Linked DNA regions of Ovis aries. The protein of the gene in region 2 interacts with the protein of the main gene of each other region in a pairwise test. Links are inferred from orthologs where the notes say so. Each region holds a gene or a part of one and is shown on either strand. Other genes may lie near its edges. The genes, in order: EIF4E, UBXN11 and RHOBTB3.

Region 1 (3,592 bases), on a different chromosome or scaffold from region 2:
TGTCTTCGTCACTTAGTTTCTCCCTTTTGGGGGACAAATTTAATGAAACAGCTATTGAGGTTTTTTTTTTTTTTTTTTTTTTAATCTAGTCTTGTCTGTAGCATTAGGATTCTATTTAAGTGTGCCATTAACAGATTCTAATTGTAAACTTAGTAAGAGACCTTAGAGCATGATTAAGGAGAAAGAAGACAGCAGAAAGAATCATTGGTCTTTTCTACTTTGAACGCCATTGAAGAATGTCCCTTCCACACTAGACATTAACTGTATAGAAGTGGTGGTTCTAATTCTGTAGTTACTGTTAGTATCCATGTCTCTCTTCTGGCCTAGTGGAATCTTGTCAGTGATAATCTAGTTTGGAAAGAGTTACTACTAGATAGAATAACCCAACAAGCTGTATGCTGTCTTAATGCTCTCTCATTCAAATTGGATTTGTTGTTAAACTGTGAGATGTCATCCAGAGAATCCTTGACTCTTTCTTAAAACTCTACTTGAAATACTCACAGACTGGGTTAAAATAGCAGTAAGAAAATCTTAATAAGGGAAATAACCATCCGTGTGGTATTATTGCTAGTTGTATAAGATCATCACTTTGGATCCAATCTAGCATTCTGCCTTCAGGCTAGTGGAATACCTAATTCATCCCAAATGTTAATCTGTTACATTGCTATTTGGGAAATAGTTTAGAAATACACATTCTGTGGTTCCAGCCTGTATTTAAGGAATTAAAATTCTAAGAAGTAGGATGTAGAACTATTCTGTCTTTAAAAGTTCCCCCAAAGATTATTGTGCTTGCTGACTTAAACTAGTAATAGTGTGTAGTGTTTGGGGACTGTTGATCTTTTCCGCTCTTTGGTACTTTCACAGATAATAGTAATGTTGACTTAGTTTAGTCATGCAATCCTGATGATCAGGGAGTTTTGTCTTACTTTCTCTAGATTTGTCTTTTTGTGTGTTTAAAATGGCTTATTAGCCTCCTGGATTCTTTCATTTACTTAAAGGCATCTGGTACCTCTCTTCTCAGTTTCTTGTAATAATATGTATATATTAAGTTAACTAATGCACCAAAATTGTCAGGATAAAATCACTGAAGATATTTCTAAAAATCATTAGATGTTGATTCTTAAAGCTGACTGTTATTAAGATCTGTTTGGTCTGTTTCAGAAATTGACTCCATAGTGGGAAAAAAGTAAATGAGTTTTTATCTTGTTTATTTTTATCATATTCTCTGAATGTACATATAAACACCTAAACTCTACACTACATTTTCTATGTTTATAATTGTTCTTTTCTTTTACCTAGTCTGTACAACCATATCCAGTTGTCTAGTAATTTAATGCCTGGCTGTGACTACTCACTTTTTAAGGTATGCTTAATTGGTGACTTCATATATTTTTTATAAGACTGGACCATTCAGGTATTCATTAAAATCTTACCATGAACTTAGAAATAGTTAATGTTGTGATGCTTGGAGAATAATTGTATTAGCTTTACCATATTTTAGCATAAGTATATTTTGGCTTCTTTTAGTATAAATAATTGAAATTAAGTGAGAATTTGGCGGTATGGACACATACTGTGATTGATTTTGAGGAGATCTTTGATTATCCACTCTTATTTCTTCTTTATATACTTGAGTAGACCGAAGTGCAGTTTGTCAGGAGTATGTGCGTCCTTGAGATACTTATATGAGTTTTGTCAGCTGTTAGTGGGTGGGACAGTCATTAGCTCTCTGAAGTGGTATAGCTTTCATATGTATTTTTTAGATGTAGAAATGTGCATGGCTTCTAAAAGGTGTCTGTTACTCAGAACCTCCAAAGTATATTACTTTAGAACCTCCAAATTAAGTCAAACCCCAGATTTGATAGCTATTAAGTGCCCTAGTCAAGGCTCTGTTTTTGCAATCCCATGCCTCTGGCTTTAAGTTTTGTGTGCTTTCGCACTACCTCAATAACAGTTTTATGAGTATAAAGTAAACAATTAACACGGTTGTTGCTTACTGTTTTTAGTCATTATCTTAAGTTAAACTAACAATATTGTCTCATATTGTTGTACCCCTAACCTTGTAGGATGGTATTGAGCCTATGTGGGAAGATGAGAAAAACAAACGAGGAGGACGATGGCTTATTACACTGAACAAACAGCAGAGACGAAGTGACCTCGATCGTTTTTGGCTAGAGACAGTAAGGTTTTAAAATTATAAAGCTGTTTTTGAATACTAAAACTTTGTTGTTGTTGTTCAGTTCAGTCGCGTCCGACTGTATGCGACCCCATGAATCGCAGCACGCCAGGCCTCCCTGTCCATCACCAACTCCCGGAGTTCACTCAAACTCATGTCCATCGAGTCAGTGATACCATCCAGCCATCTCATCCTCTGTCATCCCCTTCTCCTTGTGCTCCCAATCCCTCCCAGCATCAGGGTCTTTTCCAATGAGTCAGCTCTTTGCATGAGGTGGCCAAAGTACTGGAGTTTCAGCTTTAGCATCATTCCTTCCAAAGAAAGCCCAGGGTTGATCTTCAGAATGGATTGGTTGGATCTCCTTGCAGTCCAAGGGACTCTCAAGAGTCTTCTCCAACACCACAGTTCAAAAGCATCAATTCTTCGGCACTCAGCTTTCATCACAGTCCAACTCGCACATCCATACATGACCACAGGAAAAACCATAGCCTTGACTAGATGGACCTTAGTCGGCAAAGTAATGTCTCTGCTCTTGAATATGCTGTCTAGGTTGGTCATAACTTTTCTTCCAAGTTGTTGTTGTTATTCAGTTGCTAAGTTGTTTCTGACTCTGTGACCCCATGAACTACAGCACTCTAGGCTTCCCTGTCCTTCACTATCTCCCATAGTTTGTTCAAACTCATGTCCATTGAGTCAGTGACACCATCCAACCATTTCATCCTCTGTTGCCCTCTTCTCCTCTTGCCTTTAATTTTTCCCATCATCAGGGTCTTCTATAATGAGTCAGCTTTTTGCAGCATGTATCCAAAGTATTGGCGCCTCAGCAGCAGTCCTTTCAGTGAATATTCAGGGTTGATTTCCTTTAGGATTGATTAGCATGATCTCCTTGCTGTCCACAGGACTCTCTTCAAGAATCTTCTGCAGCACCACAAGAGTCTTCTCCAGCACTGCAGTTGGAAAGCATCAATTCTTCGGTGCTCACCCTTCTTTATAGTCCACCTCTAACATCCATACATGACCACTGGAAAAACTATAGCTTTGATTATACGGACCTTTGTCCGCAAAGTGATGTCTCTGCTTTTTAATATGTTGTCTAGGTTTGTCTAGGTTTGTCAGGTTGTCTAGGTTTGCCTAGGTTTGTCTAGGTTTCCCAGGAGAAAGTGTCTTTTAATTTCGTGGCTGCAGTGACCGTCCACAGTGATGATGGAGCCCTAGAAAATGAAATCTGACTCTTGTTTCCCACATTTTCCCCATCTGTTTGCCATGAAGTGATAGGACCAGATATCATTATTTTCGTTTTTCTGAATGTTGAGCTTTAAGCCAGCTTTTTCACTGTCCTCTTTTACCTTCATCAAGAGGCTCTTCCTCTTCACCTTCTGCCATTAAAGTGGTAGAAAACTTTGTTCCTTTTTTGTT
Region 2 (4,291 bases):
CATCAGTTCAGTTCAGTTCAGTTCAGTTCAGTTGCTCATTCATGTCCGACTCTTTGCGGCCACATGAATCGCAGCACACCAGGCCTCCCTGTCCATCACCAACTCCCGGAGTTCACTCAGACTCATGTCCATCAAGTCAGTGATGCCATCCAGCCATCTCATCCTCTGTCATCCCCTTCTCCTCCTGCCCCCAATCCCTCCCACCATCAGAGTCTTTTCCAATGAGTCAACTCTTCGCATGAGGTGGCCATAGTACTGGAGCTTCAGCTTTAGCATCATTCCTTCCAGAGAAATCCCAGGGCTGATCTCCTTCAGAATGGACTGGTTGGATCTCCTTGCAGTCCAAGGGACTCTCAAGAGTCTTCTCCAACAACACAGTTCAAAAGCATCAATTCTTTGGCACTCAGCTTTCTTCACAGTCCAACTCTCACATCCATACATGACCACAGGAAAAACCATAGCCTTGACTAGACGGAGTCCCATCACTGGTCCCATCACTTCATGGCAAATAGATGGGAAAACAATGGAAACAGTGAGAGACTTTATTTTGTGGGGCTCCAAAATCACTGCAGATGGTGACTGCAGCCATGAAATTAAAAGACACTTGCTCCTTGGAAGAAAAGCTATGACCAACCTAGATAGTATATTCAAAAGCAGAGACATTACTTTGCCAACTAAGGTCTGTCTAGTCAAGGCTATGGTTTTTCCAGTGGTCATGTATGGATGTGAGAGTTGGAGTGTGAAAAGAGCTGAGCGCCAAAGAATTGATGCTTTTGAACTGTGGTGTTGGAGAAGACTCTTGAGAGTCCCTTGGACAACCAGTCCATTCTAAAGGAGATCAGTCCAGGGTGTTCTTTGGAAGGAATAACGCTAAAGCTGAAACTCCAGTACTTTGGCCACTTCATGGGAAGAGTTGACTCATTGGAAAAGGCTCTGATGCTGAGAGGCATTAGGGGTAGGAGGAGAAGGGGACGACAGAGGATGAGATGGCTGGATGGCATCACCGACTCGATGGACCTGAGTTTGAGTGAACTCCAGGAGTTGGCGATGGACAAGGAGCCCTGGCATGCTGCAATTCATGGGGTTACAAAGAGTCGGACACGACTGAGCGACTGAACTGAACTGAACTAAAGGTTCAACAGTTATCTTAGGGCCCAGCAATTCCATGCCTAGGTGTACACCCAAGAGAAATGAAAACTCACATCCACAGAAACCTGTGTATCTGTTCATAAGTAGCATTACTTGTAAATAGCCCAAAACTGGAAACAACCCAAATGTTCATCAACCAATAAGTGGATAAACAAATATAGTATATCCTTCCTTCTCTGGTGGCTCAGAGGTTAAAGCGTCTGCCTGCAATGAGGGAGACCTGGGTTCGATCCCTGGGTCCGGAATGTCCCCTGGAGAAGGAAATGGCACCCCACTCCAGTATTCTTGCCTGGAGAATCCCGTGGACAGAGGAGCTTGATGGGCTACAGTCCACGGGGTCGCAAATAGTCGGACACGACTGAGCGACTTCACTTACAATGAAATATTATTTGGCAAAAAAAAAGAAAGAAATGCAATACACACCACAGTGTCAATGGACCTTGAAAACATGCTAAGGTAAAGAAATCAGTCACAAAAAACCACCAACTGTTAGGATTCAGTCCAGAATGGGTAAATCTATAGAGACAAGATAGATTAATGGTTGCCTAAGGCTGGAGGTGTTAGGAAGAGCTGGGGAGAGGGAGATGCTAAAGGTACAGGGTTTCCTTGGGGCTGGTGAAAATGTTCTCAAATTTGATTGTAGTTACGACTGCACAACTCTGTGAATATACTAAAAACAACTGAAGTTTACATTTTAAAGAGGTGAAGTATCTAGTATGTGTATTGTATCTCAATAAAGCTATTATAGGGGGAAAAAAAAGGACCTGGTCTCCAAACCAAACCAAATATCTCTCGAAATAAGCTCCTCCCGCTTCCCCTTTCTGAAGAGGACCTCATTATCCAAACACAAAAAATTTCCCTCCTTTTTCTCCTCTAATCCCTGCAGTTCCGGAATCCTGCAGGGTAAACCCTGCACGTTTCTCACACATAGCTCCTCCTCCCGTGGCCCCCTGCTGGCCATCCTAGTGGGACTCTCACTGCCCTTCTTTGGGGCTGTTACAATGGCCCCAAACCGACTTCCCTGCTTCCAATCTCACTCCAGGCCAATCCAACAGTCTCCAGATCAATTTTCCCATGTGATCATAGGAGACCCCTGAGGACAAAGGCTATTCCTTTCCTTCAGCCTGGGGACTTCTTGAGCGAAGAAGGGCTGTGTCTCCTCCCTCAGATTGGGAACCCTGGGGGCAAAGCCACGTCTATTCCCTTCACTTTGCGTTTTTTCTTGGGGCGGGAGACTGTGTCTTCCTCCTCAAGCCAGAGGCGGCTAAAGGTTAGACTGCCTGCTTCTTCAGACTCAAGCTTTGAGAGTCAAATTGGTCTTGCAACAGGTCCCAGTGCTCGCCAGCGCCGACACGGGCCAGCAGGCTGCACACCTTCATTCCCTAAATCTCAGCTGGAAGCGCTCACCACCGACTTCCACCACCAGACCCTCCCTGGAAGCTGCGTCGCCAACCCCCCGCCTCCGCCCGTAGCCGTGGTAGGCAGCGGCCTGAATCTGCTCCCAGGCGCGGAGAGTCTACTGGAGGGGCCGGGATGTGGGGCTCGCATATCCTCGAGGCTCTCGCGGTGAGGGCCCCAGCCTATGTGAGAGGGACTCCACGAGGAGAAAGGTCTGAGGCCTTTCTGTAACTCACCACGCAAGCCGCAGAACCACCCGCGGCGCCGCCATCTTGTTGTCACACGGTTTCCCAGGCAACCAGGACCCTTGTGCTTCTCATTGGCTAATCCGTGAGGAGTCCCTGAGCAACCAGGAGGCAGCGGAGGCGGGTACAGCTGTCTCTACTCGAATTCTATTGGCCCACGAAGTCTAAACTCATCGCGGGGAAGACTGCAAATCCCAAAACCGGCCGCTCTGAGCGGACTCTGGGTTTAGGGCAATTTGAGAGTCCTTTCCTATTACTCCAAGGCACAGAAAGCGGAGAACTGGGATTAGGTTCACGAAGCTGCTGGAAGCCTCTAGACCTGAATGTGCAGTCCTGACCATGCCACTGTTTTATTAAATTGATTTTGGGAGAAATTACATGTATCCTGGTGAGCTTGTTTTTCCATCTGATCACTACAGTACTAAAGGGAAGTTCTTTTGAGCATGAATTGAAATGATACAAGTACTTAATAAATGTTTCTTAAATCTGCATTTCTCTGCTAATTTCTTGGCGCCCCGAAGAGACGCTCTGATTCTATTTCCTTTATGTAAAAATTCGAGTAAGACTGCTGCCATTGGGTAAGATACTTAGAGTGACTTTGGGTGAGACCCTTCCCCTTCCTGAGCCTCACATGAAAAACAACCTGTTGGATTAGAGCAACTAGAGGTAGTTTTGTTAAGAGCATGGTCTTTGGCACCAGGAGTCCCAGGCTGTGTGTGTGTCCTTGAGCAAGTTACCTTAATTTCTTTTGTTAAATGGGAATAACATCAAACCAGTCAATCCTAGAGGAAATCAACTCTGAATATTCATTGGAAAAGCTCACGGTGAAGTTCCAATAGTTTGGCCACCTGATGTGAAAACTAGACTTGTGGGAAAAGACCCTGATGCTGGGAAAGATTGAGGGCAACAGAGGATGAGATGGTTGGATGGCATCACTGACTCACTGGACATGAGTTTGAGCAAACTCCAGGAGACAGTGAAGGACAGGAAAGCCTGGTGTGCTGCAGTCCATGGGGTCCCAAAGAATCAGATATGACAGTGACTGAACAAACACCACAAACCCACCCCACAGAGCTGCCATGAGAATTAAATGAGACAATACGTACTGAATAACTATCACAATACCCATACAGAGTAAGTTTTCAAAACACTTCCTGCTTTTAACTTTTGTTATCATTATCTCACAGTCATCCAGCTGTGATGATCTGGGTGTCTTATGATTTCCGGCACCCACTTCCTTATACCTTGGCTCAACTACCAAAGCCCTTTATCTGCATGTCTCCAACTGCACTTATTAATATTTTCCATTTGACTCTCTAACCTACTGCTTTTAGGGGAGGGCAGGCTCCTTGAGGCATTCTTTACTCACCAATTGGAAACTGAAAGGACCTACCAATTAATGAGCATCTTCCAAGTGCCAGATGCCAAAATTATGAGATTTAGAGATGAGAAAACTGAAGCTCAGAGAAGTGACGTGACTTGCTCAAGACTGTGCAGGT
Region 3 (4,292 bases), on a different chromosome or scaffold from region 2:
AATCAACTTTCATACCTCCAACGGGCTTTTACTTACAACCTAGAGAAGAAAAGCATCTTTTAAAGAGTAGCTCTACAAACACATTCTACTATGCCTGAAGACCATTATAACCCAGAAAACTGTGCCTGGTTACATACAAACTCAATGCCTTAAAAAGGGCCAGAGTTAACCAAACAAAGGTGATTAGAATAATAAAACATAACAATCAAAAATCTAGACGACAAAGGTTAATTTTAACTGATTTGGAAGATTTCATTTAGTACAATCCATGGGATCACAAGCACTGCTTTTTGTTAAATTATTAATAATAACATCAACAGGAGTTAACTGCTCAAAAAAACAAAACAAAACAAAAAAAACAGGAAAGGTTATCCTAACATCCTAATTCAGCTTATTTTATTTCCCCTCCATTTATTTACTCTATTCACTCAATATTTGTCCAACTGAGTGTAGACCCAGTAAGTTTTTAGATTGTATGATTTTTCACAATGAAATGATCAAAGGGGAAGAAGGGTTTCATTTGTTTGCATGGACTCCAGCCAGTAAGTTCTCTACCCATGCTTCTTATGATCAGCATCATCAATGTCGTAATTAGGAGTTTAATAGCCTCCCTGTTAGACTGAAAAGGCCTGTTTTTCATTTATTTTAGTCTACTAACATAAATTTACTTTTCAGCTGAAAATTTATTTGGACAAGTGATCTTTTCTTTCTGTAATATGGAAATCCGCATAAGAAATGTTTTTACAGACATTTTATACATTTCTTTGGAAAGGTGTATCCTGTCTTTGTATAGGTGTAGCCTATAGTCCCTAATTCACTTTTCTTAAACTGTGGTTTAAATGTAAACCTCACATAAAGATAATCTCTATTTTTTTTCAGACCTTAAACCTTCTTCTGTTATAAAATATAACACTTAGCTGCAATGTAGATTCTATACTAGTAAAGACTCAGAAACTTTGAAATAAGATTACATGAAAACATTCTGGATGCTACTGCGTACTGAAAAACATTTATACCATCAGGATGTAGATTTCTTTCTTCTTTTATCACTCAAGAATTAGACTAGCATTTATCAACTTCATTACAATTTCTTCTAATCATCGCAAATTTTAAAGCTTTTTTCAAGTCCCAAAATAGTATCAGTAATATTTCTGATTTACGGGTCAGGAAAAAGAAATGGCTAAATATATCAGGAACATCTGCACTATTAAAATTAAAAACTAATTAAAAATTTTTTCAAAGTGCTATAAACGAGTTGTTTAAATTTAATTCTCAGTCCCTGACTTTCCCCCTCCTTTCCAGGGGTCCTATTTCTGAGCGGGCCCCCAGTGAAATGTATTTTGGCTCTGTTGAGCTTTCAGAGATCTTTATTTTTAGAACACTCATATTACTATATCCCCCACACAGGATAGGCAAGAAGAAGAAAAAAAAAAAAAAAACCCACTGCTCTCTGCTGGTGAAACTTAATGACCCGCGTCCCTTGGGGTTGGGACATTTAAGGGTTAGCTGTCTTAACCAAGAGACAACCCACAATCGTGAAACGTACGCCTAAGTGCTTCATATTCTCACTGGAGCTTTTTTTTTTTTTTCTTTTTTCTTTTTTGCCTTCTAAGAGTGTTCTTTGATTAGGCTGGCCCCTGCCCCCTGAAACGAAGGACCAAAGACTTTCCCCAAAATGTAAAAAAAAAAGAAAAGAAAACTCTCCCCCGGTGACCCGGACGTTGACATTCATGAAATGGGGGGGGGGGGGGGGGGAGAAAAGAAAGAAAAGGAAAGGAAAGCTCCGTCAGCCCCCTTACCCAGACGGGACAGTCGTGGACCACCAGCTTGACGTTCCCAAACGCGCTGGCCTGATACTCGGTGAACACGGGCCGCGCGGCCGCGCCGCTCGCGCTCAGCAACAAGCTGCTCTCGTCCCCGGAGACCAGCGGGCTTCTCCCCAGGTAGGCGCGGATGAGCCCCGACGGCCGGCTGTCCTGGTGGAACGCGTCCCCCTCGTTCCCCAGCGCCACGATGTGAATGGACCTAAGGCGGCCGAGACCAGGGGGAGAAGAGGCGCGTGGTGAGCGCGGGGGGCAGCGCGCGGCGAGGACGGGCGCGCGAGAGCCCCCCGGGCCCGGGGTGGGGCGCACGGCACGCGCCGGAGCTGGAGACCAGAGCGGGCCCGCGACGCGTACGTACATGATCTCCAGTCCCCCGGGCCCGGGCGGCGGCGCGGAGAAAGGTCGGCTCCTCGCGGCCTGCGGGGGGCCAGGCGGCGGCGTGGTTTCCGCCCCCCGCCACCACCACGCGCGCCCCCCAGCAGTCAGCTCATCCCGGGCCGCGTCTCCCCCTCCTCGCGCGCCTCCCGCGCGGCGCGGCCGACGCAGAGCGGGCGGGCGAGCGAGCTCCGGGGGCCGCGCGCGCGCCGCCAGCCAGTCAGGAAGTGCCGGGGCGCATCCCCGGGGCGGGGGGCCCCGCCGTCCCCGCTGCCGGGCCCCCGCCGCCGCCGCGGAGACTCGCCGGGCGCCGCGCTCCCCCGGCCGGGCGGCCCGCCGCCGCGCCTCCTGCTTCTGGCTCAGCGGCGGGTGGGGGAAAGCCGGGCCTCCGCCCCCCTCTGCGGGCCGGGCGGCAGCCGCACGTGCCGGCCTTGGAGAGGGGGGTGTCCTCGGGCGGACGCGGGGGCCTCGCTGCCCGCTGAGGCTCCCCCCCGAGCCGGGGCAGCGGCGGCGGCGGCGGGCGGGATACAAAGGAACGGCCTGCGCGGGGCGCCGCGGAATATAAATTAATAAATACGACGCCCCGGCCCGAGAGCTCCCGGTCACCAATCCGCCTGCAGCAAGTTTGTTCAACTCGAAAGGCTGTAACCGGAGCCGAGCGGGGGAAAGGGGGTGGGGGGCGGGGTGTGGTGATGGGGCGGTTGCGGCCCCTGCTCCCTAAAGACTAGGGGGTAAAAAAGGGTAAGGGAAGCCAGGGAATCCAGCCCCCGGCCGCTCCAGCAGCCCCCCCTTTTTTTCTACCCTCTTCTTGGCCTTGACCAAAAGTGTTTTTACCAAGTCTGCCGCTTGGTCATTTGTCAACATGTAGTACAGCTGTTTTCTACAATCATACTTGCGAGAGAAAAAAAAAGAAAGGCAACATTCATCGTGGTGCAGAAAGGGTTCTTTGTTCACGCACCAATTAATTCGCGAACGTCGCTTCTCGGGAGGATTATTTACTACTTCAAGCTATATTTGGCATCTTTTTTGACCAAAAGCCGAAGGATTTTGTTTTGTTTTGTTTTAAGTGTTGAGGTTCTGATTGTGATAGCTGTAGGAAGTCGTTACGCGTGAGGTTGTTTAACGTGTTTACAGACCAAATGCGAGCTTACGTGGGGGATTTTTCGGTACGCATTATGGCTACATGTTTAATAATAGCTCCTCAGACCAGCTGGAAAAATAACGATCATGCTAATGCAAGGATACTTTAGATTCTTTCATGATAACGCCTTGAACTAAAGGCTGTGAGTGTCCCCAAAGGGCCTCAAACTGCCTCGTTGCAAGTGAACACTGGAATCCATTGCGAAGAGGAGCCAGAGTTTACTCTGGGGCTCTGCCTCTCCATAAACATGAAAATTCTCGCAAGTGCTCCGTGTTGAAAGAGTTCTTGTTTATCCCTTTATTTATTTTGCCCTGCTTTAAAATGTTGCTGTTTCTTTTCTCAACAGAACTATTTTCAGGCTATGAAACAGGAGGTGCTGAGTAGGGCAGTTAAAACCCTAGGGTGAGAGGCGTTTGGAATGTGAGCAGCTTTTTATTGTGGGCCCCGGTTGCTCAGTTGAAAGGGGTTTAATAGTTTCTCGTGCCCAGATAGAGTATAATGGGGGGCATTCTTTACCTAAGGCACTGATGTTTAAAAATCGTATTTCCCTTTGCACCCAGTATAGTTTCTCTTTTAGTCTCTAGAAGCACCCCAAAATAGTACAAGATCATCTTTTCTCATGGGTCATCAATCACCACCAGTAACCCCAAGTCGAAAGCAAAGACACCGGAATGGTTGAACAGATACAGAAAATGTGGTATATACATAGAAATAGTATTCTGTCTAAGAAAAGAGGGAAATCCTGTCACATGTTGCAACATGAATGAATCTTGAGGGCAATAAGCTAGTCATAGAAAGACAAAGACTGCATTATTCCACTTACATGAGATATCTCAGGTAGTTAGACTCTTAGAAAGCAGAATGCTAGTTTTAAGGGGGCTTCTGGAAGAGGAAAATTTGGAGTTCAATGAGTGTGGAGTTTCTGTTTTGTAAAATGAAAATGTGAAATGAAC

Evidence for each region.
Region 1: the proteins of UBXN11 (region 2) and EIF4E interact in binary tests that used the Homo sapiens proteins (3 or more experiments, as listed by UniProt). The link is inferred for Ovis aries from reciprocal best matches to the Homo sapiens genes UBXN11 and EIF4E.
Region 3: the proteins of UBXN11 (region 2) and RHOBTB3 interact in binary tests that used the Homo sapiens proteins (3 or more experiments, as listed by UniProt). The two-hybrid records come from large-scale screens. The link is inferred for Ovis aries from reciprocal best matches to the Homo sapiens genes UBXN11 and RHOBTB3.

Annotation. Positions count from the first base shown.
Region 1 is NC_056059.1:26,273,033-26,276,624, forward strand, and holds part of EIF4E (eukaryotic translation initiation factor 4E), read left to right. Parts: intron 1-1,299; coding exon 1,300-1,363; intron 1,364-2,066; coding exon 2,067-2,180; intron 2,181-3,592. UniProt on the Homo sapiens protein: Acts in the cytoplasm to initiate and regulate protein synthesis and is required in the nucleus for export of a subset of mRNAs from the nucleus to the cytoplasm which promotes processes such as RNA capping, processing and splicing.
Region 2 is NC_056055.1:240,540,781-240,545,071, reverse strand, and holds the start of UBXN11 (UBX domain-containing protein 11), read right to left. Parts: upstream 2,840-4,291; 5' UTR 2,784-2,839; intron 1-2,783. UniProt on the Homo sapiens protein: May be involved in the reorganization of actin cytoskeleton mediated by RND1, RND2 and RND3. Promotes RHOA activation mediated by GNA12 and GNA13.
Region 3 is NC_056058.1:92,674,171-92,678,462, reverse strand, and holds the start of RHOBTB3 (rho-related BTB domain-containing protein 3), read right to left. Parts: upstream 2,835-4,292; 5' UTR 2,184-2,834; coding exon 2,182-2,183; intron 2,174-2,181; exon of another isoform or gene 2,026-2,173; coding exon 1,800-2,025; exon of another isoform or gene 1,795-1,799; intron 1-1,794. UniProt on the Homo sapiens protein: Rab9-regulated ATPase required for endosome to Golgi transport. Involved in transport vesicle docking at the Golgi complex, possibly by participating in release M6PRBP1/TIP47 from vesicles to permit their efficient docking and fusion at the Golgi.